Lepisosteus oculatus: one gene and its partners. The protein of the gene in region 4 interacts with the protein of the main gene of each other region in a biochemical or structural test. Links are inferred from orthologs where the notes say so. Each region holds a gene or a part of one and is shown on either strand. Other genes may lie near its edges. The genes, in order: mitogen-activated protein kinase 12-like, kcna4, frmpd4 and snta1.

The links.
Region 1: of the proteins of snta1 (region 4) and mitogen-activated protein kinase 12-like, one has a biochemical effect on the other in vitro, tested with the Homo sapiens proteins (2 studies listed by BioGRID and IntAct, with this or other methods). The link is inferred for Lepisosteus oculatus from reciprocal best matches to the Homo sapiens genes SNTA1 and MAPK12.
Region 2: the proteins of snta1 (region 4) and kcna4 interact in a test that uses a peptide from one of them, tested with the Homo sapiens proteins (2 studies listed by BioGRID and IntAct). The link is inferred for Lepisosteus oculatus from reciprocal best matches to the Homo sapiens genes SNTA1 and KCNA4.
Region 3: the proteins of snta1 (region 4) and frmpd4 interact in a test that uses a peptide from one of them, tested with the Homo sapiens proteins (2 studies listed by IntAct, with this or other methods). The link is inferred for Lepisosteus oculatus from reciprocal best matches to the Homo sapiens genes SNTA1 and FRMPD4.

The regions. Positions count from the first base shown.
Region 1 is NC_090702.1:48,041,041-48,048,126, forward strand, and holds the start of mitogen-activated protein kinase 12-like, read left to right. Parts: upstream 1-3,911; 5' UTR 3,912-4,332; coding exon 4,333-4,451; intron 4,452-6,094; coding exon 6,095-6,224; intron 6,225-6,793; coding exon 6,794-6,852; intron 6,853-7,086. UniProt on the Homo sapiens protein: Serine/threonine kinase which acts as an essential component of the MAP kinase signal transduction pathway.
Region 2 is NC_090716.1:3,645,608-3,653,758, forward strand, and holds the start of kcna4 (potassium voltage-gated channel subfamily A member 2), read right to left. Parts: upstream 3,010-8,151; 5' UTR 1,875-3,009; intron 1,853-1,874; exon of another isoform or gene 1,505-1,852; 5' UTR 621-1,504; coding exon 1-620. Other genes in the region: fshb (follitropin subunit beta), read left to right, coding at 7,986-8,147. UniProt on the Homo sapiens protein: Voltage-gated potassium channel that mediates transmembrane potassium transport in excitable membranes. Forms tetrameric potassium-selective channels through which potassium ions pass in accordance with their electrochemical gradient.
Region 3 is NC_090708.1:21,686,445-21,694,301, reverse strand, and holds the start of frmpd4 (FERM and PDZ domain-containing protein 4), read right to left. Parts: upstream 3,207-7,857; 5' UTR 3,021-3,206; coding exon 2,977-3,020; intron 1-2,976. UniProt on the Homo sapiens protein: Positive regulator of dendritic spine morphogenesis and density. Required for the maintenance of excitatory synaptic transmission. Binds phosphatidylinositol 4,5-bisphosphate.
Region 4 is NC_090711.1:15,463,538-15,471,418, forward strand, and holds the start of snta1 (alpha-1-syntrophin), read left to right. Parts: upstream 1-4,773; 5' UTR 4,774-4,845; coding exon 4,846-5,137; intron 5,138-7,881. UniProt on the Homo sapiens protein: Adapter protein that binds to and probably organizes the subcellular localization of a variety of membrane proteins. May link various receptors to the actin cytoskeleton and the extracellular matrix via the dystrophin glycoprotein complex.

The DNA of each region.
Region 1 (7,086 bases), on a different chromosome or scaffold from region 4:
GTCTGTGTGGCTTTCTCACTTTGTGACGTGTTGAGGTTTCCTCTTCAACAAGTGAAATGCAGCTCAACAGGATTCAGATCAGGAGCCCCGTCCAAGTCAAGAGTTTCCACTCCTCCCTGCTGATCTCCGTGGTCAAGAGCGTGCTGCGTCTGGAGTCCTTGTAGTCATGTGCAGGGTGAACAGTCGTCCAATGAGATCAGAAGCAGTTTTTGGACGTGGGCAGACGAGATGTTTCTGTAGACTTCAGAACTGATTCCGATTCAGCGAGCCAGCCCTGGAGTCCTGCCCGAGCCGTGACACCACCACCACCATCATGCTTCAAAGTGAGGTGATGTGCTGAGGAGCTCACAGTTCCTCTCTTGCTCCACACTTTGATACAGGTTTATCTTCATCTCGTCTGTCCATAAAACTCTAGTTCCAGTACGGTTGTGGCTCATCTTTCTACTTCTTTGCGAATTCTGGTCTGGCCTCGCTGTTTTTAGCGGCGATGAGAGGTTTGCTTCTGGCAGTGTAGTGCGCAGTGAATTAAGATGCCTGCATCCCTGCTCTCTAGAGATTGACTTATGGGGTTTTACTTTATAGCCCTAAGGTTTCTTCTTCCTTGGATGACCTGGTCTCCGCTGATTGCTTACTCCTCTAGGAGTAATTCAAGACATTTCATACTGTTGATTTCGCAATGCCCGCTCTCTTTAGAGTGCTTGCCACATGTGTCGTGGGTGTTGGTGTTGTAGTGGTGTTCTATCTGGGATTTGTACTGTTTCTTGGCAGATTTTATGCCAGCTCTTAATTTTTTCCTAGCCCCTCTCAGTTCTTCCTCATTGCCAGATTTGAAGGCTGCATCACTGGCTTTGAGCAGGGAGCGGATCTCAGTGTTCATCCAAGGTTTTTGATTCAGGAGTTTGCGTATCTTTTTAACGCTCACCACATCATCAGCACATTTGCTGATGTAGCTAGTGGCTGCTGATGCATACATGTCAATATTGGTGTGGGATCCATGGGAGGCTGCATCTTTGAACACACTCCAGTCTGTGCACTCGAAACAGTCCCGAAGCATTGATTCTGCCTCTTTGGTCCATGTTTTTACAGTTATAACTGGAGCCTTGGTGCGTTTGAGAAGTCGTCTGTAGGCTGGGAGTAGGAACAGGGAGATGTGGTCAGATTGTCCAAGAGGGGGGTGAGGTACTGCTTTGTAAGCACCGGGTACATTAGTATAAACAAGGTCAAGTGTGTTGTTTCCCCTGGTGGGGCAGTCAACGTGTTGGTTGTAGATGGAATTTTCTGATCTCATCTTCACTGTTGCTTGAGGTGACAACTCCCTGGTCTTCATCTTGGTTTAACTCAAGGGGCAGGTCCAAAAAGTAAACCCGGAAGACTGGAACCAAGGATATACATTGACAGCTCCACTGCGTTTTAACAAGTAGAACGGAAACATCCATCAGGCATTTGTCCCAGTACTTACACTTGTCTGAGATGGGGAGTTTTAACATAATAAATGCCATTGTTCCAACATGGCTAAACCTGTATGCTAAATAATACTCTGAAACAAAATTGGAAACTCTATACTTTTGCCTCATATTAACCTCTTGATCTGAAAATCAAATTGCCATTAGCATACATTTCATTTGACTGTGCCAATAATCATGTTTTCACTGCTGGTCCAAGCCTGGCGGTGAAATTGTAAGATCTGAGACAAAGTATAGTGTTCAGTCCACCATCAAAAAGGATATTATAGCCTTAGAAAGAGTTGGCAACAAGAGGAGCAACAATAATGTGTCCTTGTGACACGGTATGGCTGTATATGGGCAGATTAAAGGAGCTGCAGTTAATCTCTTCAATCCAGAACGGATCTAAACCAAGCATACAAGATCCTAAGGGGTACAGAGTCCAGGGTACTGTTTCACACTCAATAGGGCAACAAGGAACAAGGGATTTACAGTCGGGATTCTAAAAGGGAATTAATATAGGACAGAGAGGAGGAAACACTTCTTCACACAGAGTTGTGAACAGTCAGGTGAATCAGGCCCAACTGCTGGGCTCCTCCAAAAAAGATCTGGCATTCATTTTAGATTCACTTAACCACCGAACTACCACATGAGCAAGATGGGCCGAGTGCCCTCCACCTCTCACTTGCTGTCTTTTCTTTGTGTGGATCCCAGGCGTTTTCAGACATTTCAGCCTTGTGCAACACTGTTGTAAAAAGTTGTGACTGAGGGTTATCAATACAGTACATCCTTGGTATGATGAGCTTCGCTTTAACGGACCGAAACAGTCTGTAAAATCAGAACTACTGGACTTTCCCCGTAATGACGATGAAATGCACAAATAGTTAAATATTACATGGGTTCGAGATTCAGGAATAGCAATGGTGCCCTATAGGGGTAGGTCCACTGCTTATAATGGGTTTGTGTTTTGTATGTTTTAGCAAATTTGATGCAGTATGTTTATGACACATGAAATAAAGAGTTTGTGTATTCATAAGAGGCACAGGTATATTTTTTATTGACTGTGCTTATTACAATGATAAAAAATAATTCAAAAGAGCAAGTAAACATATAGTGTATATATATAATGATGGAAAAAAACGCAACATTTTCTGGAATGAGAATACTATAGCTATAGGTTATGTACTTTCACAAAACGTTGTCAATTTGTTTTAAGCCCTCTGACCAGCAATACAGCTTGTGCAGTGAGGCATTGCAGCTTGCCAATCACACGAAAGCTCGTTAGGTGCAGTTTTACCCAGCGAGGTCCAGGTGGAACAATGCCTGATCAGGTCACCTTTAAAAAGGCCTTAATTCAAAGCTTAGGTCACTGCAAGAAAAAGGGCAGACTTAGTCAGTTTTCTGTGCATTCCATAATGGCTCGAATGTCACCAGAAGCAAGGGAGAGGGCCATTGGCATGCTGCAGGCAGGCATGTCATGTGCCAGCGTTGCCAGACACTATGGAGTGAGTCGCTCCACTGTGTCCCGACTGCAGAGAAGGTTTCAGCAGACCGGCAGGACAGATGACCATCCAAGATCCAGTCGCCCTCGAGTGACCACACCAGAGCAGGACCGACACATCAGACTGGTCCATCTGAGAGATCGTTTCAGATCTGCCACCCGTACTGCTGCTGAAAGTGCCGGCAGACCCAGTGCCCACATCAGTGACAGGACAGTGAGGCTCCATGCTGCTGGCCTAAGAGCAAGGCGGCCTGTCAGAGGCCCTCTGCTCACACAATTTCTCTCCCTGGCCAGCTGTGCGGTGTGGCTGCTGTGTGTTACCCAGGGCTGGATGATCTGGGTTCTCTCCTTTATGTAAGGTGCTTTGGGATTCCTCATGGAGAAAAGAAGGCTTTGGTGTTATCCTGGGGGAGTAATTAGTGAGGGCGCCAGAGCGATCTGTATCCACTGCTCTGCTTAAGGTGTACCCATAATCTATGTTCTTGTACAGTTAGTAACTACACAAGTTTACAGATAAGTTAAAAAAAAAACAGGTGGATCAGTAAACCCTGTAGAGGTCAAAAAAGAAAATGCGAAAGCTTTAGTTTTGAAATCCTGTAACTTGGAAAAGGCCTGGCTGGTGGGGTTATGGTTGTAATATAGGCGAGAGCAGCGCGTTGCCCAATGTACACGACGCCAAGACATCAAACTCTACAAATAAAATGAGAGAAGCGAAGTTTGAAGTCTGTGTTGTTGATACTTCCTTTTCATCTTGCGCAATGCGGAGGAGCACAAAAAAGGCAACTAAACAACGTTAGGATTTATAGTAAAAGGTTAAGTGGTGTCTTAGGTGGCTGGAGGTAAGGAGTCAGATAACGCAAGGAGGAAGCAGGTTTCTGGTTTAAAGTCCGTGGATGCGCTAATTGATTCAGGTGGGTTGTGGCCTTTGGAACTGAATAGCTTGTACTACATACCAAGAGCTTGAGGATGATGTGTGTACTAGCCTCGTTTCAGTACTTTCAAGGCGTGTGCGTGTGAGGAATGTTTCTCATTCCGGCTCCAGGGTGAGTTCCCGTCAGACGGTGCGGATCACACCTGCCCTCTTACCGGGGGCGAGGGAAAAAGAAACACGAGTCTGTTTGGGGCAACAGACCTGTGCGCCGCGGAGGCGCAGAGCCGAGCGCGCAATACAGGAAGAGCGTCTCTGAGAGGAGGGGATCGTGGAGACGGGAGGGCGACCAGATAGACAAACACACACACGCACACGCACACGCCGCACTCGCTGACTGAGTGACGGGGGAAGAGAGAGAGGGGCGCTGCGCTCCGGAGGCTGCGAGCGACAGAGAGAGAGAGAGAGCGCATCGGAGGGACCGGCGTGCGGTCAAGCTCGGCTTCTTCACCGGTCGGAGAATGACGACCCGGACCAGACCCGGATACTACCGGCAGGACGTGAACAAGACGGTGTGGGAAGTGCCCGAGCGGTACCGGGAGCTGAAGCCCGTGGGCACGGGGGCGTACGGCACTGTGTGGTGAGGCTCGCCTGGGGTTCATAGAAACACATCTGTCGCCAGTTTGTCCCGCGGGGCGGCCGCCCACGGAGTTTGTGGAGTTGTCTCGCCGGTTTCGGGGACGCGCAGACACAGGAGAAGGAGGGCGCCGAGTCTGAATTAGCAAGGGAACAATAGAAAGCCCGAGCCGGTCTATTTGCTCAGCCCGCAATGTATATTTGCGTTCTTACTTCCTCCTTTCGCTCTCTCTCATCTCTCCGGCAGCCTCTCGGCTGCCTCCCCTGCCTAGCAGCTCACATCTGAGCGAAGCGACCGTGCAGGTCCGGGTGTTTCAGACGCCCGCACCGAGCCACGAAAGCACGGTCTATTTCAGCCTCTCCGTGTCTGTGCAGAGCACAGGCAGAAGTTTGTACAGTCGTGCCCGAGTGGACGGTGGAAAACCAGTTGTCTTCCGGGTTAGGAAATGAACGCTAGCTGCCGAGTGTCCGTCTGGCACTCCCCTGCTCCTCTCTGTCAGGACTTGCAAGCGGAGGAGGAGGTGTGGTTAATAACTTGGCCCGGTGGAGGCAGGGTGTCCTTAAACGTCTCCCTTTCGGCTCAGTGGAAGGGAGGGTAAAAAAAACACGAGTGCACTTTTACAAGCCCCCGAGCGTCGTTCACCCACCACGCGGAGCTATAAAAGCACTCGGAAGTAGGACAAGACCACAAGGGGCTGCGAAATTTCCTGAAGCAACCCGTTTTCAAACTGCGGCGTCGCAGCAATGCGCTCGACGATCTGATCGGTCAAACACCGCCGGTTCCCGGCAACGCCAGGCCGGTGACGTCACCCGCCCTGCCCGCAGGAAAGGTCATTCACACATCGCTTATCTGTCGCACCTTCGCTCAGGTTGGGAGAATCAACAGGTGTGAATCAACTACTTTCTGGGGGTCAAAAGTAGTTAACAAGGAGTTCTTGTGAAGTTCCTACTGGTAAGAACAAGAGTGCGGTATCCCCACCATACATAACCAGATAGTATAGGTTCATTAGAGCTCTGTAAGTTTTACGAGTTTTAATAACATTTTCGAGGCCTTCGTTGGTGTTCTGTTTCCAGAGCGTTAAGTCTGCGTGCCCTCAGCTGCTTAAAACAATAATTATAATAATAATAATTGCTTACACTTATATAGCGCTTTTCTGGACACTCCACTCAAAGCGCTTTACAGGTAATGGGGGCTCCCCTCCACCACCACCAGTGTGCAGCCCCACCTGGATGATGTGACGGCAGCCATAGTGCTCCAGTACACTCCCCACACATCAGTTATTAATGGGGGTGGAGAGCAGAGTGATGAAGCCAGTTCAGAGAGGGGGATTAATGGGGCTGTGTTATTAATCTCTGACCTGTTATTAATCCCTGGCTCACTCGGCGCGGAGTAGTTGCCAAAGCACAGTGTTTCGGCCGTGGAGCCGCCCCCGGGCTCCGCGTCTGGAAGGAGGTGTTCCTTCTCCTTCCCGCTTGTCCGCGCCAACGGCCGTGCGCTGCTCCTCCGCCGCCGGCGCGCGCCGAGACAGCGGTTCCTGGCCCGGATACCTCCGCTGCCCTGCACTGTGGGTGTCTCACGGGCCTGTTCTCGCCCTCCCGCGGGCCGCCGGGTGTGTGACGGTCCCTCTGCGGCTCTGCCCCTTGCAGCTCGGCCGGGGACCGGCGGACCGGGACGCGCGTGGCCATCAAGAAGCTGTACCGGCCCTTCCAGTCCGAGCTCTTCGCCAAGCGGGCCTACAGGGAGCTGAAGCTGCTCAAGCACATGAAGCACGACAACGTGAGTACGGCTCTCTCCGAGCCTCCCGTTTTCATCCACCTCAGGGCTGCAAGGGGGCCGGAGCCTATCCCAGCAAGCAGTGGGCACAAGGCAGGGTACTCCCAGCCCATCGCAGGACACGCACAGCCCAAACACGCTCTCACACCAGGGCCAGTTGTCCCAGAAGCCACTTAACCTACTAGTATATTTTTGTCCACACGGACAGCACCCCAGGTATTGAACCAGGAGCCCGGTACTGTGAGGCAGAAATACTTACCCACGGCAGTAGCACCATGCCACCCATGGAGAAATATAGTCTTCCCTATGAACTGGCAAGGAGAGGGAAGATCTCATTGGTGACCCTGCTTGCTCTGTGCTCCTGTCCTGTGTTTTTCCTCCACTCTCTTCAGCCATGCCTTTGGAAGAACTCACTGCTTGATTAGCCAGTCCTGGAGAGCTGTGGGTAATGAAAAGTGGGTGGTGACTGGAAGGGTCTCTTCACCCTAGCCAGTGGGTAGGGGGGCAGGTGTGATGTGGTGTTACTCCCCGTGCTGAGCGGGACAGTGACTCTTCTCTCTGTCTCCCCACAGGTGATTGGCCTGCTGGATGTGTTCACTCCAGACATCTCTCTGGACAGATTCCAGGACTTGTGAGTGTCCCCAGGTTCCCACAGTGAGATTTGTCCACGGGTCTTCAGGCCGTTGGAAAGCTTACAGATCTTTCTTGAAAGAAAACAGGGTGTTGGTTTCAACAACGTGGCTGTGTAGATTGTTCCATACTCCCACAACTCTTTGCATAAAGAAGTGTCTCCTGTTCTGCAGTGTGTACTCCCCAAGGATTTCGGGCACTTGGTTGAGTTCTCACTGTAGTAACCTCTTTTTTT
Region 2 (8,151 bases), on a different chromosome or scaffold from region 4:
CTTTTCCGCCGCTCTCTCGGCTCTCCCCCTCCGCCGCCGCCGCCGCCGCCGTCCCCTTCTCCCCCCTCGCCTTCCTCCTCCTCGTCCTCGTCCCCCTCCTCCTCCTCCTCCTCCTCCTCCTCCCTCATCATGTCGTCCTCGGACCCGAGCAGCGCCAGCTCCGAGTGGCGAAAGCCGGCCGCACGCTCGCGTCTCCACTGCGCCGCGCGCCGCCGCCGCTGCTTGCCTTTGACAGCTGGCGGCGGCGGCTCGTGGGGCTGCTGCTGCTGGGAGGAGGAGGAGGAGGGGCGCGAGGCGGCGCCGCCGCCACTGCTGCCGGCCTGGGAGGAGGAGGCGGTGCGAGACGGATGCGGCTGCTGGTTGTGGTGGTTGTTGTTGTGGTGAAGGTGGTGGTGGTGGTGGCTCACGGATCCCCCTCCTCCCCCTCCTCCTCCTCCTCCTCCTCCCGAGGCGGCTTCAGCAGCGGCGGCGGCGGCGGCGGCGGCCGCGGCGGCGCGCGTGTGCGCCTGCCTCTCCCTCTCGCGCTCCCGCTCGCGCTCCCGGGCGCGCGCCTGGGCGTATCCGTACGGCAGGTGGCTGTTGCACCCGCCGCTTTCCGCGCTCACCATGGCAACCTCCATGTTGGCGGGGCGAGCGGCGTGCCGGTGTTTTTATTTTTTGAGGGGGTTGAGTCCGGGGGGGAGGTGTGTGTGTGTGTGTCCCGGTTTCAGTTTTCTCCGAGGTCAGAACACAAGAACAACAACAAAAACAAGGGCCCGCAGCTTTGACCTGAAGTGAAAGTGGCGGTAGAGGGAGGGGGCGGCTCAGTACATTGTCAGACCCTCGCACCTGTTCGTCCGCGCCTCCAGCACGACTCGGGCCCTAGTTCCTCTTGCCTGACATGTCCGTTGTTGGAGACCACGGGTGCCGGCCAAGCAACATCCTAGTCCCGAACTCCTTCCGCGAAACTGGGGGGAAGGGTGCGGGTCGGGTCGGGCCCCAGGGGTCCGCTCGGGAGACGGTGCGTTAGGAAAGGAGGGGTGAATGACTATTATTGTTTTTCTTATCTCTTCAGTCGCGCCATCCTCACCTCGCACGGTGGAAACACTTTTGCAGTGCCCACGACGGAGGGGTCACAAAACGATCTGCCCGCCCCCCGCCCTAAGCTGTGGCTGTTTGCACCTGTCCGGCGGTGTGTCCGGCGCCGAGGATGGCGAAGATGCTCCCAGACGACAGATTCCGCCGGCTTCCCATCTCGGGAGGACTGTCGCTTTTCCACTTGTCACGCTCGTCACAAACTCTCCTGATATCCAGATGTGCGCAATTAAAGCCGCCTTTTGACCCCCGCCCCCCCCACCCTTGATCTTTGTGTTGTTGTTGGTGGTGGTGGTGGTGGTCTTGATTTTTTTTTCTCTGGGGGGGGGGTGGGTGGGAGGTTATGTTATTTCTGCAGACGTGAAGCGCAATGCAATCAGCCGTCCGTCCTCCTCGCACGTCTTCGACTTGATGATGATGATTACAACGGCTGAGGAAACACCAACAAAAAAAAGCGAAACGAGAAAATCTTGATTCATCCGATCGTCGTGTTCCTCCACGACCTTAGAGAGCCAACGCACACAGTTCCTAAATCCTAAACCTGCCTGCACCTTAAAGGCAGGTGAATCTATACCCGTTTTTCCCCTCCCTCGGGCACTATATTATCATTTCGCTTGCACTACCTTAAACAAAACAGCCCCTGCAACAGGAGTCTCACTGCGTGATGGATGCTTGCAATACAGTCTAGCCCAGTTCAGTCTTTCTCTAAATACAGGTAGACGAAAACCCTACGTGCACATAATACAACACAATCCCCCTCTGTCCCCAAACACCCCAGTACGATTCAGACCTGTACTTACGTTTTGAAAATTAAATCAGGCGCAGATCCTATTCCTCTCTCTCCGCCCGATGTGATCTTCAATAGTTGGGATAGTTGTTTTTTTTTTTTATGATGCCCTGATATTCAGGTCCTCACATCCCTCTTTCCTCCAGCCAGGAAACGGAATATGGAAGAGAAATGAGCTGGAGACGAATTCACCTTCCCAGCTGCAGGTTTGGCGCGCCCGGGAGATCACGGTGCTTTTTTTTCCCCGGCAGTTTGACGCGTCTCCCCACAGTAGGCAGCGCACGGCAAGTGATGTTAAAGTCAGCAGTCAAAATGAAAACAGTGTCTGAGCCCCCCCTCTCCTCTCCTCCCGTATGCTCACGGTGTTGCAAAAAAAAGGGGAAAAGATAACACAATAGATCCCTGCGTAACGCGTGTCGGGAGACGGCTGTGACTGTAGCGAGGTGTGAGCAGCCGTAGTTCGCTCAGCGCGCTGTGGAAATCGCAGCTGTTCCCGTGGCCGTGCAACAGTATCAATCACTACTTTGTCAACACCTCTCAATGACAAAAAATACACATTTCCTCCCGGCTTCGCCTTACCCGGCAACACACACACACACACGGTGTATATATATATACACACACACATATACAGGTGTTAAGAATTTAAAAGCTAGACGTTCAGCCTGTGCGGATCCGCACATCTCTATATCTAAAAAAAACCACAAAACAAAACGGGCGACGACGATAATTAAAGTTCATCGGTCGCGTCGATTAAAATAACATTAGCCGCCTGTGACACGCGCCTACCCCCCCCCCTCCCCAAGTCATTCGGCGGCCCCTGTCGCCCCCGTCGCGTGCGCGCGTGCCGCGCAGAGGAGCAGCGGGTCCCGCCGCGCGGGGTGCCTCTCCCTCGCGCAGCCCGGGCTGCGATCCTCCCTCAGCGGCCGGAGCGAGGCACTGCAGCCGCCGCGCGCTCGGGAACTTTTTCTCTTACCGGCCGCGCGACGGTCGTGCGGACTGGACACACGGCAGCTCGGGGAGCAGATTGAATACATTCGTGTCGGAACCTGTTACTGCTGGTTTATTTATGCACCGAACTCTGGTGTGTGCTTAAACGTGTTTATGATGATAATATCCCCCATGAAGTAATCTAGTCATGTGACGTTTTGCGCCTATAGTCTACTGTATATTCCCGGTTAGTACCGACAGAAACTGTTTTGTTTAGATTCCAGTGCTAACTTATAGCTAATGACCAATTCAACGTTTCGTTTGCATATGAGTGTAGCATGAAGCGTGTATAGGAACCGAGTGATATCGAAGTTGGAAAAACAACACGGTGGCAAAGAAATACTATTCCTGGCGGAGAAGCCGAACTCCTGTATCCCAGGCGTCTCGAAGGAGCATCTTCGGCGCCCTTGGGTGACGCGTTGGAGTATGTCCGTGTGGTACTGTACATATAAGCGTGCCTCATCAGGGGGCTATAGTTGGATCCTTGTGATATTTATATGAACACGAACAGCAGGAACGCCGACTGTGTCCGTGGCGAGTATTTGGGCTGCGTGTACCGCTTTAAAGCAGAGCCCCAGCGTGCAGCGGTGTTTGTGCAAACAGCGCCCGCATGAACGCGGAGTTAAACTTGTGGCTGAGTCACTGAACTGAGCGGCACCAGCGCGCTGTACTCGCTGTAGTACATGCGCAGTGGTGACCTCTGGGCTCTGTAGAACAAGCAGTGTCTCTTGACGTGCAATAACGCCGCCGAGCCGCAGGTGAATTCTAATACAGCAGACGCTTTAAAACTAACGGCTTTGCTGAAGCGGTACTGTAACTTACAGTGTAAGCAATTACATTCGTGTTATGCATATAGTTTGAGCCCGCTCCAGCCCGCCCTGGACTATAAGGAGATAGCTCTGCGGTCGTATTGTCCCATTTAAAGCCACGCCTTTCTGTCGTGTAATCATCATTTTTGAGATGTCTCGGTGTTCACCAGCTGTCACTGGTGATATCGCTTATGCAGGCGACTGCACCTGCAAAATATGTTGATTGCTCATTTAGTCTATAGCTATGTTGATTAGCTATGGACTGATTCTACTCAGGCAAGCGAAGACCCCGCCATCACGTGTCAACAAGAAATGTACTCTTGCAGTAACTCCATCGTGCCACAAGAGGTCGCCCTACTCACACCAACCGTCCTCTTTTTTTTTAACTCATCCACAGGCGACAATCCAGTATCAATTAAACCTCCCTAATGCCATCAGGCAAACAAGCAAAAGAGCTCCTCTCATTTTATTAAAGGTCATTTGTTGAATATGTGCCCTCCTTTTTAATTACATGTAGTTACGCATTCTGTTAAGTAGCTGGGTGGTATGCCTTATTAAATTTTAATGAGAGTTGTTATTTACTTTTGTCTCTCCGGATGAATTTGCATTGAGAAAAAGCCATCAATGGTTTGTGCAAAGAGCTCTGAAACACTAATGCGCATGATCACTGCACTGTGAATGCATCGCTCTGGGCGAGAAAAATAGTAACAGAATAGGAACGGGATGTGAAAGCTGCCAGTTCCTGTTAACTTCTTGTTTAGCGATTTCGATCTTGCCTTACTTTTTCAACATTGCAAAGACGTTCTTTATAATAATATTCGGTTAGGGGAGAAAAATACCGTTAACCCTTGTTCAGAGGATGTAAACCTGAACATTCTCGATATTATCAGTTTTTGGGGGGAATTCTAAACTGCAGTTTAAAAATAAATGCTTGCAGGCCCAACATCATCTGGACGCCGGAGGATTGCATGAATGTATCGCTGAACAATACCTTCTTCCGGCTTTTTTGTCCAGCTGCCGGTACCGAAGCGGTGTCGAGGTCTAAGTCACAAAGTCATTCTGATCGCACTCCGCCCATCTGCTGACTGTCAGGGACAGTTCTTTCTGGACCCTATGCAGACGACACTATCTGGGGTGGAGTGAGAAAACATGAGGAAAAAGGCATGCAGGAGACAGGGATGAGAACAGGGGGGGGTGTCCTTGGAGTGCTGGTGGTCGGGGGAGGTGTGGCCCAGGCAAACGATCCAGGGACGAGTCCGAGGCCAGGTGATCCATCCGAGACAAAAGATTCAAACCCAGAACCGGGTCAGGACCGGCAGGGGGAACGGGAACGGGAATAGAAACGTAAAGCCAGGCGCATGCAGGAAACCGGGCTCGCATGATGCGGAAACCAGTGCAGAGCCCTGATTAGCGTCAGCGTCTGGCTTTTAAGGGGGAACTGAAAAGGGGGCTGGAACAAGGCATAGGTGCGGGGAATGAGGCAAACGAGGAAGGGCTGGAGCGCCCTTAAGAGGAGGGGTTTGCGATCATGACACTAACTGCAGCTTCCAGTTCAGGGTTGCAGGGGAAGCCAGAGTCTATCCCAGCAAGCCCCCGGCACAAGGCGGGGTGCACCCCGGCCAATCACAAACCTACATGCTCATACCAGGGCCATTTTCCCAGAAGCCAATTCACTGTGTCTTTGGCCTATGGGAGGAAAAACACAGGGACAACATGCAGACGCCAAGCAAACATCATCCCAGGTCTGGAATTGAACCCAGGACTCTAGCACTGGCAGGTAGCAAGGCCAACCACTGCACTACCATGTCTCCCACAAGCAACAGTTTGATTTAAATGAGGGATTCTCTCGTTGCCTGATCGGATGTTTGCCAGTTCAAGTTTCAAAATTAAGAGCCTTCCAGCATTAAATCTTCAAAGGCACAGCCAGCCCCAGTCAACCCAGTGGACTTCTCCAACCTCAACAATGAAACTGTCAGGGATCCGGCAGGTAGTTGTCCGAGCATCCTGTGCGTAGCCGGGAATTCTGCGGGATGCAGCGGCAAACAATCCAAAATCGTAATCCAGAGGGCAAGGTCGACAGGAGAAGCTGGAGATCCATTAACCAGAAAGTGCTGGGGCAAACGGAGAAGACAACCCAAAAGGCGAAATACAAGAGACGAGATCGAAAGGGAAAAGTTAAGTAAAACAAAACTAGAAATCCAACAAGAAAATAACACGCACTAGAAATCTCTAGAAGAGGCTTTTCAATAGTGAGCAAGGTTTGGCGCGTGAGCCAAATTAAAATAGTGACAGGGGAGGGACGTGGTGTGATAACTGGTCCAGGAGTGAGAATCTGTGGAATCTGGTGCCTGTGAGAATGGGATGGGTTCAGTCAGGAATAAGAGCATGAAGCAGTGGGTTTGGGAATGTAATGGCATTTGCGAGGGCGATTGTGGGACGTGACAGAAACATGGACCAGAGGACACACATGGAAACCACATGGGAGCGCCTTAAAACCAGAGAGAGCACCGGGCACTTTCCACAAAGGGTTGGGGGAGTCTGGAACAAGCTGCAGGGTCCCGTTAAAGTCGAGAACCTGACAGCTCTCAAGAGAGAGCCAGACTGAGTCTTCAAATCAATCACCTGCTGTGAAAACAAATGAGCAAGAAAAAGGTCAAAAAGCTTCCCGTTGTTTGCAACCTTTCTGAAATCTGTCTCTGACACAATGCAGAATACAGCACACCGCACTGGGGTTGTGCATTGACATCAACTCAGTAGTGGTCAAGGTAAATATTTTCAACGTTAAGGTACACAGTTAAGTAAAAAGTACTTGCTTCATCTTTGGAGCTACGTTCTAGTTCTAAAAGCCTCCTTCTTGGATCTCCTGCAGCAGAGCAGCCCTGCAGGCAGTTTCTGTGATGCCTTTGAACTCACAGCCTTGTTCAATCTTTTACCTATGGGCCTGGGATCTTTCACAAATGTAACACCCCTAGTGATCCTAATTGTTTTTACTGTACGCTTTGCCTGGTTTCATGCTCTCCAAACTGACCGTCACCATTTCTGCAGTCTGCTACTTGCCCTGCGTTTTAGATTATTTTTAGTATCTTGTTCATTGTAAATAAAACGTAGAATTAAAATGCTGAAACTGTTAATATTCTAATGCTCTGCCCCTTAAACTCAGCTGCAAAGACAAATGATCTTATCTGTCATCTGCCAAGTTACAAACGCAAGACTGCTTTGAGCTTGTGTGGGAGTGGAATCACCCAGCTCTGGGAAACACGGTAAATACAACCTTGGGCATCTGTTTTTTGTCCTAGCCCTGATTCCTGCTGCTGTGGATTTTATGACCTGGTGGGTTTTTACCGAAACTGTTTTGACTGGCGGATTAACAGACCCCACTCTCTGAAAACTGGACTCTGTCCATCAGTTAACACAAATCATATTTCACCCTTTTAAATCTCCCCGGGTTACACACTCATCAGCCATAGGGTATATAAGAAAGAGTTGAAGGAAGAGGTGTCCACTGTTTCTAAGGAGAGACTGGGAATCCTGCAGGTAAGAGAATTTCCATTTCCACCTTCGTGCAGTTCTTAATCTGATTTGAATTATGTCATCTTCATTTCTCTCCTCCTTCATTCCTCTCTTCCTCTTCCTTTTGTTCTTTTCATGATTCTAATTTCCATTTGCCAACAAAAACGATCATTCTTAACTATGGGGACAAACACAACCACTTGAGACAAATCTGACTTTCCTTTTTAAAGTCTTGAACTGTCATTAAAGGTTCCCATCAACTACTGTAGTGTGCGTCACTCTGATCAATACTGTACTCTGCTCAATGACTTCCCTTCTTCACTGTAATCAATGATCAATAGTCTACTCTGCTCAATGGCTTTCCTTATTCACTGTAATCAATGATCAATACTGTTCTCTGCTCAATGGCTTTCCTTCTTCACTGTAATCAATGATCAATACTGTACTCTGCTCAATGGCTTTCCTTCTTCACTGTAATCAGGGATCAATACTCCACTGTGCTCAAGGAATTGAGTAAATCTGGAGCAAAGGCATATCCTGATCTACACCTGTGTCAGGTCCTTGTATAATCAATGCATTTGATTCTAATGTACTCTAACAGCACTTGGTCTGCCTGAGCAGGTTATTGTAGGTTGAATCAGGGTGTCCAGCCTCCGTCAGGTGGTTTATACCGAAATGTTCCAATGTCACCTGCCTGCCCTGTTCCTGAAGATCTGTATGCTCCTCCATGCATTTCCCACACTTCTTCCTCATGGCCCCATGGACGTTTTGCAGAGCCGTGTCCTGTCTTGTGCTCCCTCCCAGCTGGCTCAAGCATGTCTCCCATGGCCCTGTGTCTGGCAATGCTGTGCTGGGCGGCCCTGCGCTGTCGAGCCGACTGCGGCCTGGCCAACATCTCCATTCCTGTGGAGAACGAGGAGTGCAGCCGCTGCATCACCGTCAACACCACCTCCTGCGCCGGCTCCTGTCCCACTCAGGTAG
Region 3 (7,857 bases), on a different chromosome or scaffold from region 4:
AACCGCTGTCAATTAAAAAGTCAACAGTTTCCATTAACCAAGTTAATTTGTATACATTCCTGTTTACAGCAGACAGGTACCAAGACTTCTAGTCAAATGCAACTTAAATTACCTACATAGCTTCTAATTTCATTAGGCAGCCTTTAGAGTCTGATGTATGTTATTACAATCAAATTACGTTTTCACTGGTTAAATACATTTGAATAGAATGCTGACATGTAACATCTGAGACATTACAATAACATATCTGAAGCACCATAACGCGTACTAAATGGATCTGATTTTTTCATTTTCAGCAGTAACATAAGGTGTGTAGTTATTTTGTTTTTAGTTACAAGGGTTTCACATTAAACTTTCTAAGAAATTCACTGTAAATTCAAATGATTTTTTTTGTTTTTTACTATATATTTACTAGAAATCCCATACATATGGTGTTTATATTATGGGTTAATCAAAGGACATTTTCTCATGAATGAGAGTGTGTGGTGTGTTATTTAATGCTTATAAATTCATGTGTTTGCTACAGTTATGCAACAAGAGTGTTACCACCTTGTAGTCTGATAATGTCAGATCTGAGTAACTAAGCAAGGCTGGGTCTTGGAAGAACTGGAATGGGAGATCTCTAGGGAATAATGAGCTACTGCTGGAAGTGGCGATGGAGGAAGAGAAGGTGGCTCTCTGCCTACTGGACCAGAATTTCCAAACCAGTGCCCCAGTGACCAGAGACACTGTGCAGTAGGAAGGTGTTTGTCACCTATGTCTCCTCTCTAAATTCCACTTTGGACGTCTATATCCTGGCCTTCCTAAAATTCACCCATACTGTATGTGGTGTAGAAGTAGATCCACTTTTATAACTAGGGTTCTTTGAGATCTTTGGCTTATACAGTATACGTGCAAGGTATTATTTAAAATGCTTCACCTGGCATGAAACTGTTTCCTGGTTACAACTGTTATTATTGGCAGACATGTCATTTCTTCCAAATACAGTATATGGAAATCTTAAACAAATTATAAAAGTTTTAATTTATTAACAGTTCAATAATCAACTTTATTTTATACAAAATAAGAACATCCAGAGATGGTATTTTCCATTTCTCTTTTGATGAAAAGGTATTGTTGATGTAATAGTAGTTGTATCAATAATAATAGCATCACCTGTATCAGTTATTATAATAATAATAATAGTGATGTGATATATAATATGGTATTCATTCTGATAACCAATATAATATAAGATACAGAACATGAACACCCATTATCCTGGGTTGAGTGAAAGGGAATACAATAATAGACAAAACAGGAACTGAATTGTACTTAATGAATTCCTGTGAGAATTACATCTAAATTAAACAACTGCAACATTTAAAAAAAACGTATTTGTTTCTGGAATGTACCAAGCAAATGACAATTATGAAAAGTAATTTTAATTTTAACATTTCATAATCGTTTTTGTATGTTATCAATATTTTCTGCCAGTAGTGTTCTGCACAGCACACAAAGTGACAGAAGCTATTAGTATTTCACTTCTTCCCTCTCAGCAGGCATGGCTTGGTTATTGCTGTCCTGAAAGGCTGCATATTTCACAGAAGGCTTAGTTGCACAGTAAATACAAAACAACAAATTTGTTTCTAGATCTACAGCCTTAGAGGAGAGTGTGTATTTATTTTTTTTTACACAGCAAATTTATATACAAAATAAATTTTATGTACAGTCTGAAAGTGCGGGAATCTTTACTCACAGGGGAAGGACAAAGGCCTGTTCAGAAAATAAGATCTTACAGCAAAAGTCATTTTCTGCATGAATACATTAGGTTCATTATTATGATGTGCAATAAGTTTGTTAAACAGGTCTGAAAAGAAATCTGCAATCGTATTAATTCCAATCCCAGTCCCAAATCACATACACACAGAAAAAAAAAGTGTTTTAATGCTTTTAAGCACCCCTCTATTCATTGAAATGTAGTCAGAACATCTTGACATTCAATACAGAGAATGCCAAGAAATACAGAAATTACATATTTTCTTATATCCAATACTGTTATAATATTTTAGCATAACAGCATTGAATAAAAACCCATTGTTTTTTATTAAAAAAAATAAAACAAAAAACTTTCTGAGAATCAAACTGCTGTGTATCAAATGAGCTTTTACAAAAAGTCTTGGAATTTTAAATTGGACAGAGAGTGATAAAAGTCAGGATGAGCAGTTTTGTTTAAAAAATGTGTGACAGTATGAAGCTGAAATTTGAAAGCCTGCAGAGCCACCTCAGGAAGAAATGTTGAGAGTCAGATGCTGTACAGATGCTAAAGTGATTGCTAGCTGCTTATGCCAACTTTTCACAGTGGGAATAACTTCAAAAGCCGTTGACTTTAAAAGTTCCTTGAAAAACAAATTTCACAGACAGAATCTAAGTCAATTTGGCACTCTTCCAATGAATTAAAGGAAAAAAAATAGCTTATTTTTAGTTGCTAGAGGTACTGTTTTCTAAAATGGTGTTCACTTTAATTTCTAAGATACTTTCACAGCAATAATCAGATATGTATCAGAAAACATTCTCATAGTATACAGGTATGTGTTGAAGAAAACTGTCATACAAAATAGACAACATGCATACAACACATTAAAAACATACACTTCCTTTAAAACTTTAACTAATTTAGCATCACAGGTAGCTTTCAACATTTTGAAGATTCCAGGGACATTTAATTCAGTTTTTATTTTTAAGAACCTGTGGAAAGCACTTAAAAGGAGTTGCTATTTTTGTATTGTCACAGCACTACAGATTACTGCCAATTCAGGAACAAATGAATTAAATGAACAAAAGACATATAGATTCCTATTTATTAAATTTCCATGCATCAATGGCAATGTTAGCATTTTTGGAATAGGTTTTTCATTAGAATTCCAGGGACAACAGCTACATCAAAGAGCTGTTTACAACCGAGACCCAAAAGTGTCACTGCAATGTAGTACTCACTGAATGACTGTGAAGACTCCCAGTTGATTGCTGCAAAGCTCCATTACGTGACAGATTCACTCACAAAGTCTTGACTTAATTACGACTGTCACTCCTCGGTTCCCTGGAAGGAAATGTTTTTTTTTTTTTGCCACTTCTTCCTCTGGCTTTGGCTTAGAATTCTCTGTGCAGCTCTTGCTCTGGATTTAGCCAGTGCATCTGCGTTTCTCTGGATAAACTCTGGAAGAGCATTAACACATAGGGCTGCTGCCGGGAAGAGTCAGTGGCTGTTGCCCTGGGGGGGGGAGCAAACGAGTTTCTTCTGCTTCAGTAATGAAACAAGATAAAATTCCAGGCCACTGCATCATCAGGCAAGAGAGGGATCAATGTACGAACAGCTGTCCTCTAGTGCCTGGTACAGCCAGTGCACTAAAAGCTTACGACATGGAACAAAATGAAAATGGCAAAACTGCATTTACTCCAGTTGCCTGCACCCCATCTCACCCCTATTCAATTGAGTATAATAAGTAAATTGCTCATAAACACTTTTATGATTATAGGATGTGTTTCTAATGTGCAAAAAGTTACTTTGAGTTTACAGGGTATATTCCTTATTAGAGGAGATGAGTCCTGCATGAAAACCATTACAGTTTAACAAGCACTGAGTCTTTCTAAATTAGTCTTTTGGTTGTTGAAGACTAACAACACTGAAAATATAATTGTAAGGATAACTCATACTTCTACTGACTCTCTCTAATAAGAACATTTACTTTGAAAATAATAAATGTACTGTATGTATAAGCATACAAACTACACAGCCAACATCATAACATGTTTAGGTTTCATGTTTGTTAGGTTAATAATCCTTAAAATAGAATTACATCATCATGGCAGGAACGCCAACAGTGGACTACACCCCATGTTACTGTACAGAGATGAAGCCGAGACACTCTGTGTTTATTCAGCAAACTGCATGAGCAGTTTTTACAGATTTCCACGACTCCCACAACTACAATGAATTTGACTGCCCTTTTACAGAGAAGGTAGGGCAGGTTTTCTTTGTGTAATGAACACAGATTACATAACTGAAGTTAAATTGACTGGATTTCCAGCTGACACAGCTCCATGGAGTGGATTGCCTAGGGCACTAGGGGTTTAATTAAAATATAAAAGGTCCCGTATTTTTATCATGAGTTTCATTACGTGTTCCTGTTATCATTATAATATAATGTTCACAGCTAAACAGCAAAGGGAGCAGTCATTGAAAATTGCACACTTAATTGTATTTTATGAAAAATGCAACCCAGAAGGTTTCTTCAGATGGACTGGATTTTCATATAACAAATTTAAAACCATCTGATAATAAAATATAATTACTTGTTTGTTTGGGTTTTTAATTAAGGTTTTGTGGCTAAGATTAGGATAAACAATATACAATTTGAACTACAGTGCTTAATCTATCAAAGGTGATCATTTTACAGTTAACCTTCAAAACTGAAAAAGCAATTGAATACCTGGTCCGCTACCATTTTCCTTCAATTTTTTTTTCTTTATCAAGTATCCTGAGGGGCAATCAAACTGCAGTATCTTGAGTGAAATCGTTTTGTGACTCCAGGAAGGTTCAAATTGCAAATACATTGTTTGGTTCAGTTTATCAGTGCAATAAGTAGATTAAATAACTTCTGCCAACTGTACAGTTGTATGACTATAAACCACTGGATGAGATGAAATTGTGCAGGAATCAGTCCTACTGTATCTTGTTAGTTTTAACATGTGCCGATCAGCAGGTTATCACACAGTTAAGAATGTTTGTCTGTTTCTGTCTTTTTGGTCATACCCCGTAGTGAACTTATGCTAGCTGCAGGATTGTTTTCTCTCTTCTATCAAGCTCACTCTGCAACATTTCTGTGAGTTTTAGAGTAATAAGTTTACTTTAGAGTAATAATAATTCCAGAGTTATAAGGTTCAATCTATAAATTAATACATTAAGTGATGACGCTTTGGAGTTTCCCTGGACTGATCAGTCTGTTTGTTCTGCAGATTTGCCTGTTTGCCAGGGGTTTACTTTTTGTCTGGGTGATGCCCAAGATTAGGCATCTCAGATCGACACTGGAGCCTGACAACACCAGCTCTTTAGTGCATACATCTGTCTTTCGTATTTCTGAGTTTCAGGAGTTACATTTAGATGTAGCCTGGCTTAAAGCATAAGGCCAGAATGGTTATTGTGGCTTTATCAATTATATTGAATTAGTTTTCTATGTGAAAGCATACCAGGTAAAATAATGTTCTGGGCTTGTATTAGGTTATCAATCTGTATAGAAACTGTACTCACATGAAGCACAATTGACCTGCTGCACTAACTAAATGTACAGTAACATGTATATTTTAAAGCTTATATTAAAAAAAGTATATCCTCTTAAACAGAGTGCGATAAGACCTTTGGTAAAACAAAATATGACTATGACTAATGAAGAAAGATATAAGATGTGAAAAAGGGGTTAACTGATTTCTTTCTGCACAAAGACTTCTTGTAACACCAGACATTCAATACTTAGGAACCTTTGAGTTATGGCAGGAATGGGAGTTAATTGATATGAAATTCCAAGTGCAAGATAAAGACCCCCTAACTAAGGAAAGATAAAACCGACCATCAAAAGTGTTCAGGGTCTTGGGAATGTCCAAACATAGCATCAGAAGCGACTGAAATTTGCTATATAAACTGGAAGTTTTGTACCTATATTTTGAACAATACTTTGGTCTTATTTTTCCTTGCATACAATAAACTCAGTTATGTAAATGTCATCTTGGGTTCCAGAACTTATTTGTTTGTTACTACACTATTTATAGCACACAATCTCACATTCAGAGATGTGAGATATGAAAAACATAAATAAGAAACACAATGTTTTGTCTGTTGATCCGTCTTCAGGTGTGACCCTCAAGACTGGGTGGTCTTAGAGTTAGGGTTAGGAGAGCATTACACAGCAGGTTGAAAATGCTCATCAATAATAATTGATAATTCTTTCCAACCCTGCAGAGTCAGGTGGGGGAACACAGTGGAGAAACAGACATTGTGTAAAGGATGAGGATGGAAAAGCTCAGGGTTACTTTAATGAGATAAGTGAAAGAGAGAAGAGAGAGGCAGAGACTGATAGTTGCCAGTAGGGAGATAGTAGGAATGAAATCTACTAGAATCTAGAATGACAAGAGTTTGAGAAGATGTAGGCAGCACATAGGTGCATATTTGTGCAAGACAAAGAAACCACCTTCAAATAATAGGTTTATTCACAGACACCTCAAAGTCAACCTCTCTGGTTAGCTACAATGTCCTTGGCTAAGCTATCACAGAAATTCAACACAAATTTAACTAAAGTACCTGTTATAATAAGATTAAGCATGTGAACTCATCTACATTATCTGTAAGGAAAGTTATTTTGGCTACCTGCAAATGGGATGTACTGTAGCCATTCAGACATCTAAATTAATCTGTTGTTAATATTTCAATTATTCAAGGATTTTATACAGCTGTTTCTTAAAAGAAGCAATCACATTGGCTTTGACAACATGGCTGGGTACCTTGCTCCATAGTCCCACCACCCAGTGCCTCCTGTTATCAGCGTTAAAAAACACTTCCCCTTAGTTTCCATTTGCTTCTTCTGATTTGTGTTTCACTGTTGATTTTGAAGCAGTCCACAGGGTAAACCTTATACTATAAGAGTCTTTGAAGATAGTCCCCTTGTAGTCTTCTCTGTTCAAGACTAAAGGGATTCAGGTTTTTAACCTCTCAGAGAAAGATGGAATTTAAAAGGAGCAAAATTGCATTTTATTTCTCAAAGTAGTGTAAAATCATCTGAAATGGAATTTCAACTAGTTAAAATATTCAGTAAGTTCTACTAAGTCAATCGTGCAGCACAGGACTGTCTGGCTTGAATCTTGATTGCAGCAAGTTCTAGATCCAGTCTTAAAACCTTCACTAGAAAACTCCACCCATTTACACCCATAGAAAGTACCACGGAAAACTTTCAGGGGGTGGATTGACATATTAGTGCTGTATAAGTATTGTATCTTAGCACTAAGAAGCTGGCTGGGAGGTACATCAGTTCCACCAGACTGGAACTTCAGGAAAAGCAGGAAAGAACATAGGGAATTGGTCCATTATTAGAAACAAATGATTTATGTAACCAGTCATATGCCACACATTCAGGAATCAATTGTTGTGGTCAGATGTCTAGTTTGCCTTAAGCTGTGCTGAAAAAAAAAATAGAGCCTCAGCGGTTTATTAATTAAAAAACACAGCTGGAGTAAACAGAGAGCACCAAGCCTTATTTTTTGAACAATCCAAGTCTAAACAAAGGCTGTGTCATTCATCCATTATAATGTTAAGTCATGTTGAGCTGGGAATGAGTGTCAGTGGGACTGTGCTGATGAAATTAAAGGGGTGACCTTGTCCATTAAGGATGTCTGTGGCCAACAAGGGACCTACAAGAACTAAAGGTGTCATAGTGTGGAAATAAGTGCCCTCTCAACACTTTTGTCTTGTCTTCAGCTCCTCCAGTGTTATATACTTGAAGATGTCATTAGAATTTATGGCTAGATAAAATGGTCTACAAGAAAAACTTGCTAAATATAATATATATTATAAATATAATATAATAACCTGCTCTTGTATTCTAACCAAAATTAATGGGCATAAAATGCTGAATTCTGCCTTGAATTTCCTCATTAAATTTCAACTGTTTAATAACTGTTGCCTTTTATTGGTTGCATTGCACATCTACTGGGAGTTGCCAGGGTTGCTTAAGGGCAGAGTTATATTTATCAGAAACTGAAGCAGCAAAGGAAAGCCCACCTGTCAATTGAGTTACAACAGGATGTTTTGCACTTCTTGTTTTGCACAATTAT
Region 4 (7,881 bases):
ACCAGACCATCCCAACTGTCCACTGTCTTCAGGGAGCATATATATGTGTGTGGATATGGATGTATCTCGCAAGGGAAGTAATCAAAATCCCCTTCTTTTTTCCTCTCTAATTAATTCCTAAATCTTTTCATACTATTATGCTTTATCCAGATGGAAAACATTTCAGTTTTTTTAAGCCACCTGCCATATTTGCAATGCAATGATCTTGAATGGCAAAACAGAGATAGACAAAGGCTCTGAAATTTAGATTTAATTTAAACAGCAGGAAATGATAGCTCCAATGGTTACTAATTTATTTTTCTAGTTAGTAAATTATTGTGTTTCAGAAGACAACTCTGAGAGAATACAATGTGAAACATACCAAAGAACAAATAATTCCAGTTAAAAGAAAAGTCAGAATGAGAGATACACCTAAAATGTTATATTATTAGTGATGCTAATCTGTCCACCTACAAGTAATTTATTAGTATAATTACTGTTGTAACTGATTTATACACGTGTTTTCAATGGAGGTAAAGATTTTATTTCCAGTTTATTCGTTTACAAAAAAGGAATTATTTACAAGTTGTATAAAACATAAATTAAATACTGTTTGCAGAGGTTATCAGTCTAACTTCTTAAGAACAACTTAATAATAACTCTTTTGTCGTATTATGAAAAATGTGCTCAATTAGCTATTAGGTTTAGTCGGTGTCTTCTGTTTGTTGCTGATCATAACTTTCTTTTTCATTTTCTTTGAAAATGTATTTCATATCTTTGTATAGGACTGAATTGTAAATCAGCGTAACAATAGCGACACCTCCTGATTTTTTTATGGAGAACCAGTCTATTGGTTCTGTCAAACAAACGAACTGCCCTGTAACTGAACAGGTGAGACCACTATGGTCGTGCTTTTCTTCAATTTAAAATCCACGTAAATTAATTTATGTTTTTAGTTAATGAGGGAAAAATTATGAAATTATATAGGGTTTTTTGTAATTATAACAGGAAAACAGTTCGTAGCAGTGCCAAACTTCAGTTTCTCGGGTAAAACAAGACCAAATGAATTAAACGGGTGCCATGGTGATGAACCCAGAAAAATGTTAAAAACAGAAAATTCCTAACTAAACCACGAATACTAAACCAATCCAGAATTGACAAACAATTCTACTACTCTATTCTTTGTTTGGTATGACCGAATAATGAAGTTTCCATGAAAGGCTGAAAACAGCAAGAAACAGAAAAACAAGTTTCTTATTTTGATAAGCGACGACACCTGAAGACTCCAAAGTGTATTTAAAACATTTTAATTCCAACAAGACAAGAACAACCCAATATATTTGTCACCGAATCAAAAATTTAATTTAACAATAACAGCATCTCACTGAACTGATTCAGACACATCAGTGTGATTCATAATTCTTCACACCCATTGTTAAAACATGTCCCATCAAGAGTTGTTACCACCTGATCACACAGTATTGCGAAAGCTGTTTTGTTGACGCTGAAACCAAAATAAATTTTCATTACATATATCAAATATAAAACGAAAATATATATCGCAGGCAGGACTCTTCGTAAATGTAAAAGTAATAAAATAAAAGCATGTTGTTCCTTGTTCTATAACCAATAACAATAACAACGATAGAAACGGTGATCATGAAGCACTGTCTGTTGTGACGGCATTTTTTAAAAGTGTGATTACATTGCGATACTGAAATACTTCCACGAGGGGGAAATAGATATTCAAAGAGCTATCGCAAAATGCATTCAACCCTCCTTATAATTTACTCCTTCAACGTGAAACATTCGCCGAGGCGGACAGTCCTGGTCCTGGTCCTGGATGGTTTTCTAGGTCTCCTCAAAGCTGCACTCAAACTAGAGCTGGGAGAAGCTGTTAAATTGATTAATTCAGCAATGAATTGATCGAGGTAGTTAAGAGCTGAATTGTAACGAAAACCAGCAGATACACCACCCCTCCAGGCTGTCTAACTTTGAATTGCTGGGATGTACTGTTTGATAAATTGTATGTAACATGAACTGACATGTTGCAAGAAGTAATTGCACTTTATTAGACATTATTCACAAAATCTTTATGGATTCTCTTTGGTATCGAAATAGAGTGTATTACAACAGCAGTTCTTTTATTAATTTAGTTTTGATTAGTTTGATTGTATTGGTATGTTCATCTGTTCACTTCAGTCAGGAATGTCCAGAGGTGATCGTTTAGAGATACAGGGTGTTGATGTTTTCACAAATGACCTACTTATGTGGTAAAATAAAATGTTTCATGTTCTTACAAGTGTATGAGAAAGTTCATAAGGGCCGAGTTGTCAGTTGAACCCATTGTCCCCAGTCACTTTACATGTGAGCGGGATTTCAAGAGTTCTCTGAAACTGAAATAAATTAACATCTGAATTGAGAAGTAAACCCTTAGTAAATTGATATTGCTGCTTGATTGCTGCCCTTGGCCTGACAATAAAATAATTTTACATGCAATAAAAATAATAAAAAAACAACCAGAATATTTTAAAGATTTTATTTAAATCTTATTTGCAGACACTGTTACTAACAAGATGCCATTTACACTGTCTTTATACTTTTGTTTTCATTTGCACAGTATGTTGAATACATAAGTAATCAGATGTGTACTGTTCCTTTTACGGATGAACGTTTCAGTAGCCAGTGCAAATTAGGATTCCACTTTAAACAAGAAACTTACAGCTTTTAAAAAAAAGGATACTTACTGGAGTACTGGATACTTATTTATGTTCATATTGTATTGTTTTTGTCCCCTGTGGTAATTAAGCAGCCGTTTCTCTTCAGTAAAGATTAAGTGCTCAGTCCAAACAACAATTTAATTCAGGTTCATTGTGGTGCCAGTTGGTAATGCTTGGTAATGATGACTGACAAAACCTTCTGGATTGGCTTGCCATGACCAAAGCTGGCTACCCCTTAGCTATTCTACTGTATGTAAATGTACTCTGTTTCCAAAAGAGACTGTCCACTTCATTTTCAGCAGACAGTGCGCCTCCTGTTGAAAGATGATATACAACCTGTCAGGCTCATCCTATAAAGAGAGAAAGGAAATCCTAGCGACTAAGTATTCCATATATGGTCCAGGCGTTCCTGCTATTTCACCTGCTGTCTAGTGCCAGATGCACTTCAATGCTCCTTTAGGTTTTGCACTACTGACTCCTGCTATGGTCTGTCCTTCACTCCTGTCTTCCCCACACAGGACGTTCTCCCCCGAGTGTTCAGTCCTCAGGAATCTGCAGCTCCTTGGCTTGCCTGGCATTTTGCATGGCCTTTCAGACCGCCCAAGCTGACACCCCCAGTTACAGGGCACTGCGATAGCTCCAGAAGTGCTTGTAGGTCAAGGGGTCAACCTCCTGCAGGTAGAGGCACATTGGCCACAGGGTCAGGTAACTCTTTATCATGATTTGCTTTGTGTTTCTGCTGACGCTCACAGCACTGCATGAAATGGCTAACGTCGGTTTGCAAGGTTCTGCAGGCCACACAGCGATTCAGCGACTTTCTGTTGCCCAAACCTAGCTGCCTTTTGACAGAAGAATGCCAAGACAATGTTACCTGTATGGATGACAGCAAGCCTTTACCACCTGTTTCACATTTTGCTAGTTGACCTTAAGTAACTTGAAGCCACCACACAACTGGAAAAACTCTGCCCAATGGACTGATGTCTGACCTATTTGTGGAGGGGAACTTAAGCCATCCCACCTAAAGATATTTATGGCAGTAAAGATAATGTAAATGTCAAAATCGATGTTAATTAAAATCCCTTCTAATGAAACACTAACAAGCTCAGTATATAGACACTGCTAAATTAGTAGCTGCAGAGATAACAACTACAAACACTTTATAACATAAATATTCATAATGGCTCCACTCCTCTCATGCTAAAAAATATATTTCTGGAGCCACCCCTGGTTTTTAGATATGGCCTTCATGAGCACAGTATTATATTTATGTACCTTTACATGCAGCAGCTGAGATGATTCGTTTTCAGTCAGTAGCACAAGTGTAAAACTCTCATTTCGAGCTTAAGTACTGAACAAGTGGTAAATTAATTACTGCTTAATTTCAGAGTGCTTTGTAAAATGGGAATGAGCGACTTTGGTAAATGATCTGACTGGCCTTGAGCACAATTTTCTCTCTCCAGAGCAACACATCCACGTGATAGTGAAAAAGATCACAGACACAGACGATAAATGTGTGCATTATGAAAGTTGTTTCACAGATATTTTTATATTGTAAATTAATATGCTTACAGTATGTAGTACAATTCATGAAAAATAAGTTCATATAATGTTCTGCAATTATTTTCCATTGGAGTGGGAACAGTGCATACGTAGGGCATTTTGCTGCCTTTTCTCTTCTTTTGTTAGGTCTGTTAATACTGCTACTGCTACTACTACTACTGCTACTGATAATAATAATAATAATAATAATAATAATAATAATAATAATAACAATAATAATAATAATAATAATAATAATAATAATAATAATAATAATAATAATAATAATAATTGCACTACAATCCTTGGAATCTCACTTCGAGAAGCCATCTTCAGAGAAAAAAACAGTAATCAGTTTTATTCGGCCATTAAACATCTCTGAACTTTTTCTAAAAGCGCCTACTTCACTGGATTGTCACTATTATCAAAGCAACTTCTAATGCGTAAAGCAGAAAAAGAGCTAAGCGCCGCGATTGCAAGAGACGGAGAGGGGAGGGTCCGTGGTGTTCCTCTCTCTTGGCATCTCCGATCATCACCCCCCACCCCCATCTCTGTACAGGACTGCCAACCCCGTACAGAGTGGAGTTATTCCAGGAATGTGTTGAACATGGCTGCCGGGATGAAGGCGCAGAAAACTGGACTGTTGGAGCTCCGAACCTCCGTGGATCGCTGGATCCGTGTGCTCGCCTGTCTCACGGAGGAAAGCCTGACGGTGAGTCCGGGAGAAGCTACCGTTGAGCCTGTGAACCCCAGCCTGAGCCCAAATCCCCTGGGAGCAGTGAACGGAGATTCAACCAGCGTCGGGTCGAGCTCTCCAGTCCCCGAGTCGATCACCAACGTCAAACGCACGGTGCGAGTCACCAAGCAGGATGTTGGGGGTCTGGGAATCAGCATTAAAGGTAAAAAAACAGAATTTGCTCACACTTTCATTGCTTTGTAACTTAAGACATAAAAGTTTACTTGAAGTTAAACTTCTTTCATTGAAGTTTGTTTTCAAGTCGACAGCTCTTGACAGCCTTCGTTGTGTACATGTAGTTACATGTACAAACTAAATTATGATTATCATTAATCTCCCGAATAAGACAACTGGACGTATGTGTGATATCACATTATCGACTGTTATCAGGTGAAATTCCTTGGGCTCAAGTGAGTGTTGTTTTTCCGACAAATATACAGAACGAAGAAGAAAACCTCGGTCAAAATGTTTGCCCTTCATAACTGCATTTTGTAAGATGACTGGCATTGCATTTGTTGGGCTGTTGAACACGTGAAACAAGTGTTCTGTGACAGCAGTTTCCATTGCTGAAGTTGTTCAGGAGAATATCCCAGTTTAGGAAAACAGGCAACATTAGTTCTAAAACGGCGTGTGAATTGTACAGTACAGCGGATTACTTTGTGCCTTAACTTGTGATTAACATTGCTATAGTTTTACTGCTTAAATATTGTATACAGTTCAGGGAAGATCCTGAAGAGAAACAGTCTGATAATTATTTTACTAAGTGATGATTTAAGCGAGAATTGTAACGTATCGGTTATGACAAATTCATTAAAACAATTGTTTCTCTTAACTCATGTTTTCCTCGCGTGGAACAGAATGTTAGGATTTAATATTCAAATGATCTCAAAACTGCAAATCGAGCCATTCTCCAGATTAAGTGGTCAAAAATTAAGTTTAAAAATTGGTGAATGGAGTACTGAACAGTGAGTTTAAGACCAGTAAAGACGGCATTGTGGCAGGACAGGGCTGACCACTCTATGCGTAAGATAGCATCGAGTAGCCTTCTACTGACAGCAAACATTATAATTTATAATTAGGTTGTAAATATTTTAAGAAAGATTTGCCACAGTATCACAGTTCTATTATTTGATAATGATTGGTCACTTCTTATTGTGTCTGAATCAAAAAGGTACAGAGTTAAAAATAAACTCAGCTATGTGTCCTTTTAACTATGTGGGAAGAAATGAACAGCTTGATTTCAAACATAAAACTAGAAGTAGAAGTGCCACAATACAGTTTTAAATTAAATATAAGAGCATAAAAACATTTCAGCCTTTACAATTACCCATTTGGTAGTTATTAGCTACTTGATCTGTGAATTTCATCCACCTATTTCCTGAGAAGAAACAAGTGTATTGGCTTCCACAACATGGCTGGCAAGCTTGTTCCATACTCCCACAACTCTTTATGAAAAGAAGCGACTCTTGCCCTGAGTGGAGGAAATCACCCATATAATTCTTGGAAGACGCCAAGGTATCATCTTAGACAATGTGGCTGGTAGCTTGTTACTCCCACAAACCTATAGTATCTTTAATGTAATGATCTCCTAAAACACATCACACAACTATTAAAAGTTATTTTTGTTTAGAGAATGTGAAGTGAATTCTTGGCGGGACTGAAAAAATGTGACAAGCTGTTGAAAGAAATCTACACAGGCTGTAACCTTTCGGAATAGAAAGCTAAGTAGAATCACTGGATCTTAGGATAGTGTGAATTTTGTTTTCAGTAGTTGTTGTTTGCATGTGGAGGGGGGAAATTAGTTTGGAAACAGTACTTTTAAAGATTTCAGGTACTTGTTTGATTACTTTTCCCTTCTTATTAACTTTGTTTTCACTGATACGGGGTTTTACTGTCTGGTCCATCATCATTTGTTTCACAAATAGTTTTAGTTATATAGTAAGACAAGTCAAGTCAGATCAGTGATGAGAGGACAGACCGGCAAATCCTTAAACAGTTTGCAGAAGAATTTAGGAAGCTAAACAGACACTTTGGTTGTATAATCTCTTTAACTTTTCTGGTACAAAATTCAGTACCAACTTCAAAACTCTTATAATTTGTGGACGAATAAACACAGATAAATAAAATTGCAAGTTCTTTTGCAACAAAGTTCAGTACAAATCCTTGACATTTAAAAAAAGCAAAGAGGTGATGAAGTAATAATCCATCTATTTTCTAATCTTTTTTCCAATATAGAGACAGGGGGAGCTGGAGCCTACCCCAACAAGCAACAGGCACAAGGCAGGATACACCCTGGATGGGATGCTAGTCTAGCACAGGACACCACAGACACAAACACAGATACAAACACACACTCATTCCATGGTCAAACCTTCTAGGAGACAGTTAATCTATCAGTACTCTTTTGACTGCTGTAGGAATCCTGTTTCAGGACATACAAACTCCACACAGATAGCATGCCAGGAATTAAACCCAGGCACCCAGAGGTGGTAATCCCTGCCCATCATGCCACCCCTTAAAGTAGTAGTAGTACTACTACTACTACTACTACTAGTAGTGGTACTTGTAATAATAATAATTTTCATTAATGAAGATTCCAAAGTTCTTCACGTAAAAGTGCGGACCTAATTAATCCATTGTGGAAAGTTTTAGATTGCACAGCTCAAAGAAGAATTTAGCCAGGACTGTGGGATTAGCTTCCTTAATCTTTCAATAGTGCCTATGGATCCTTAATGATAAGGTCTTCTTTGAAGGACAGCACAGCATCCCAGTACAAGTCAAAGCCATGCAAGCAAGGCTCGTATTCTTCATTTTAAAAATACATTCAGTTTGCAGTTATTCCCTGTAGTCTTATTTTACTTTTCTGAATATGCAAGATTACTGCAAGATCTCATTTCTGGAGCACTG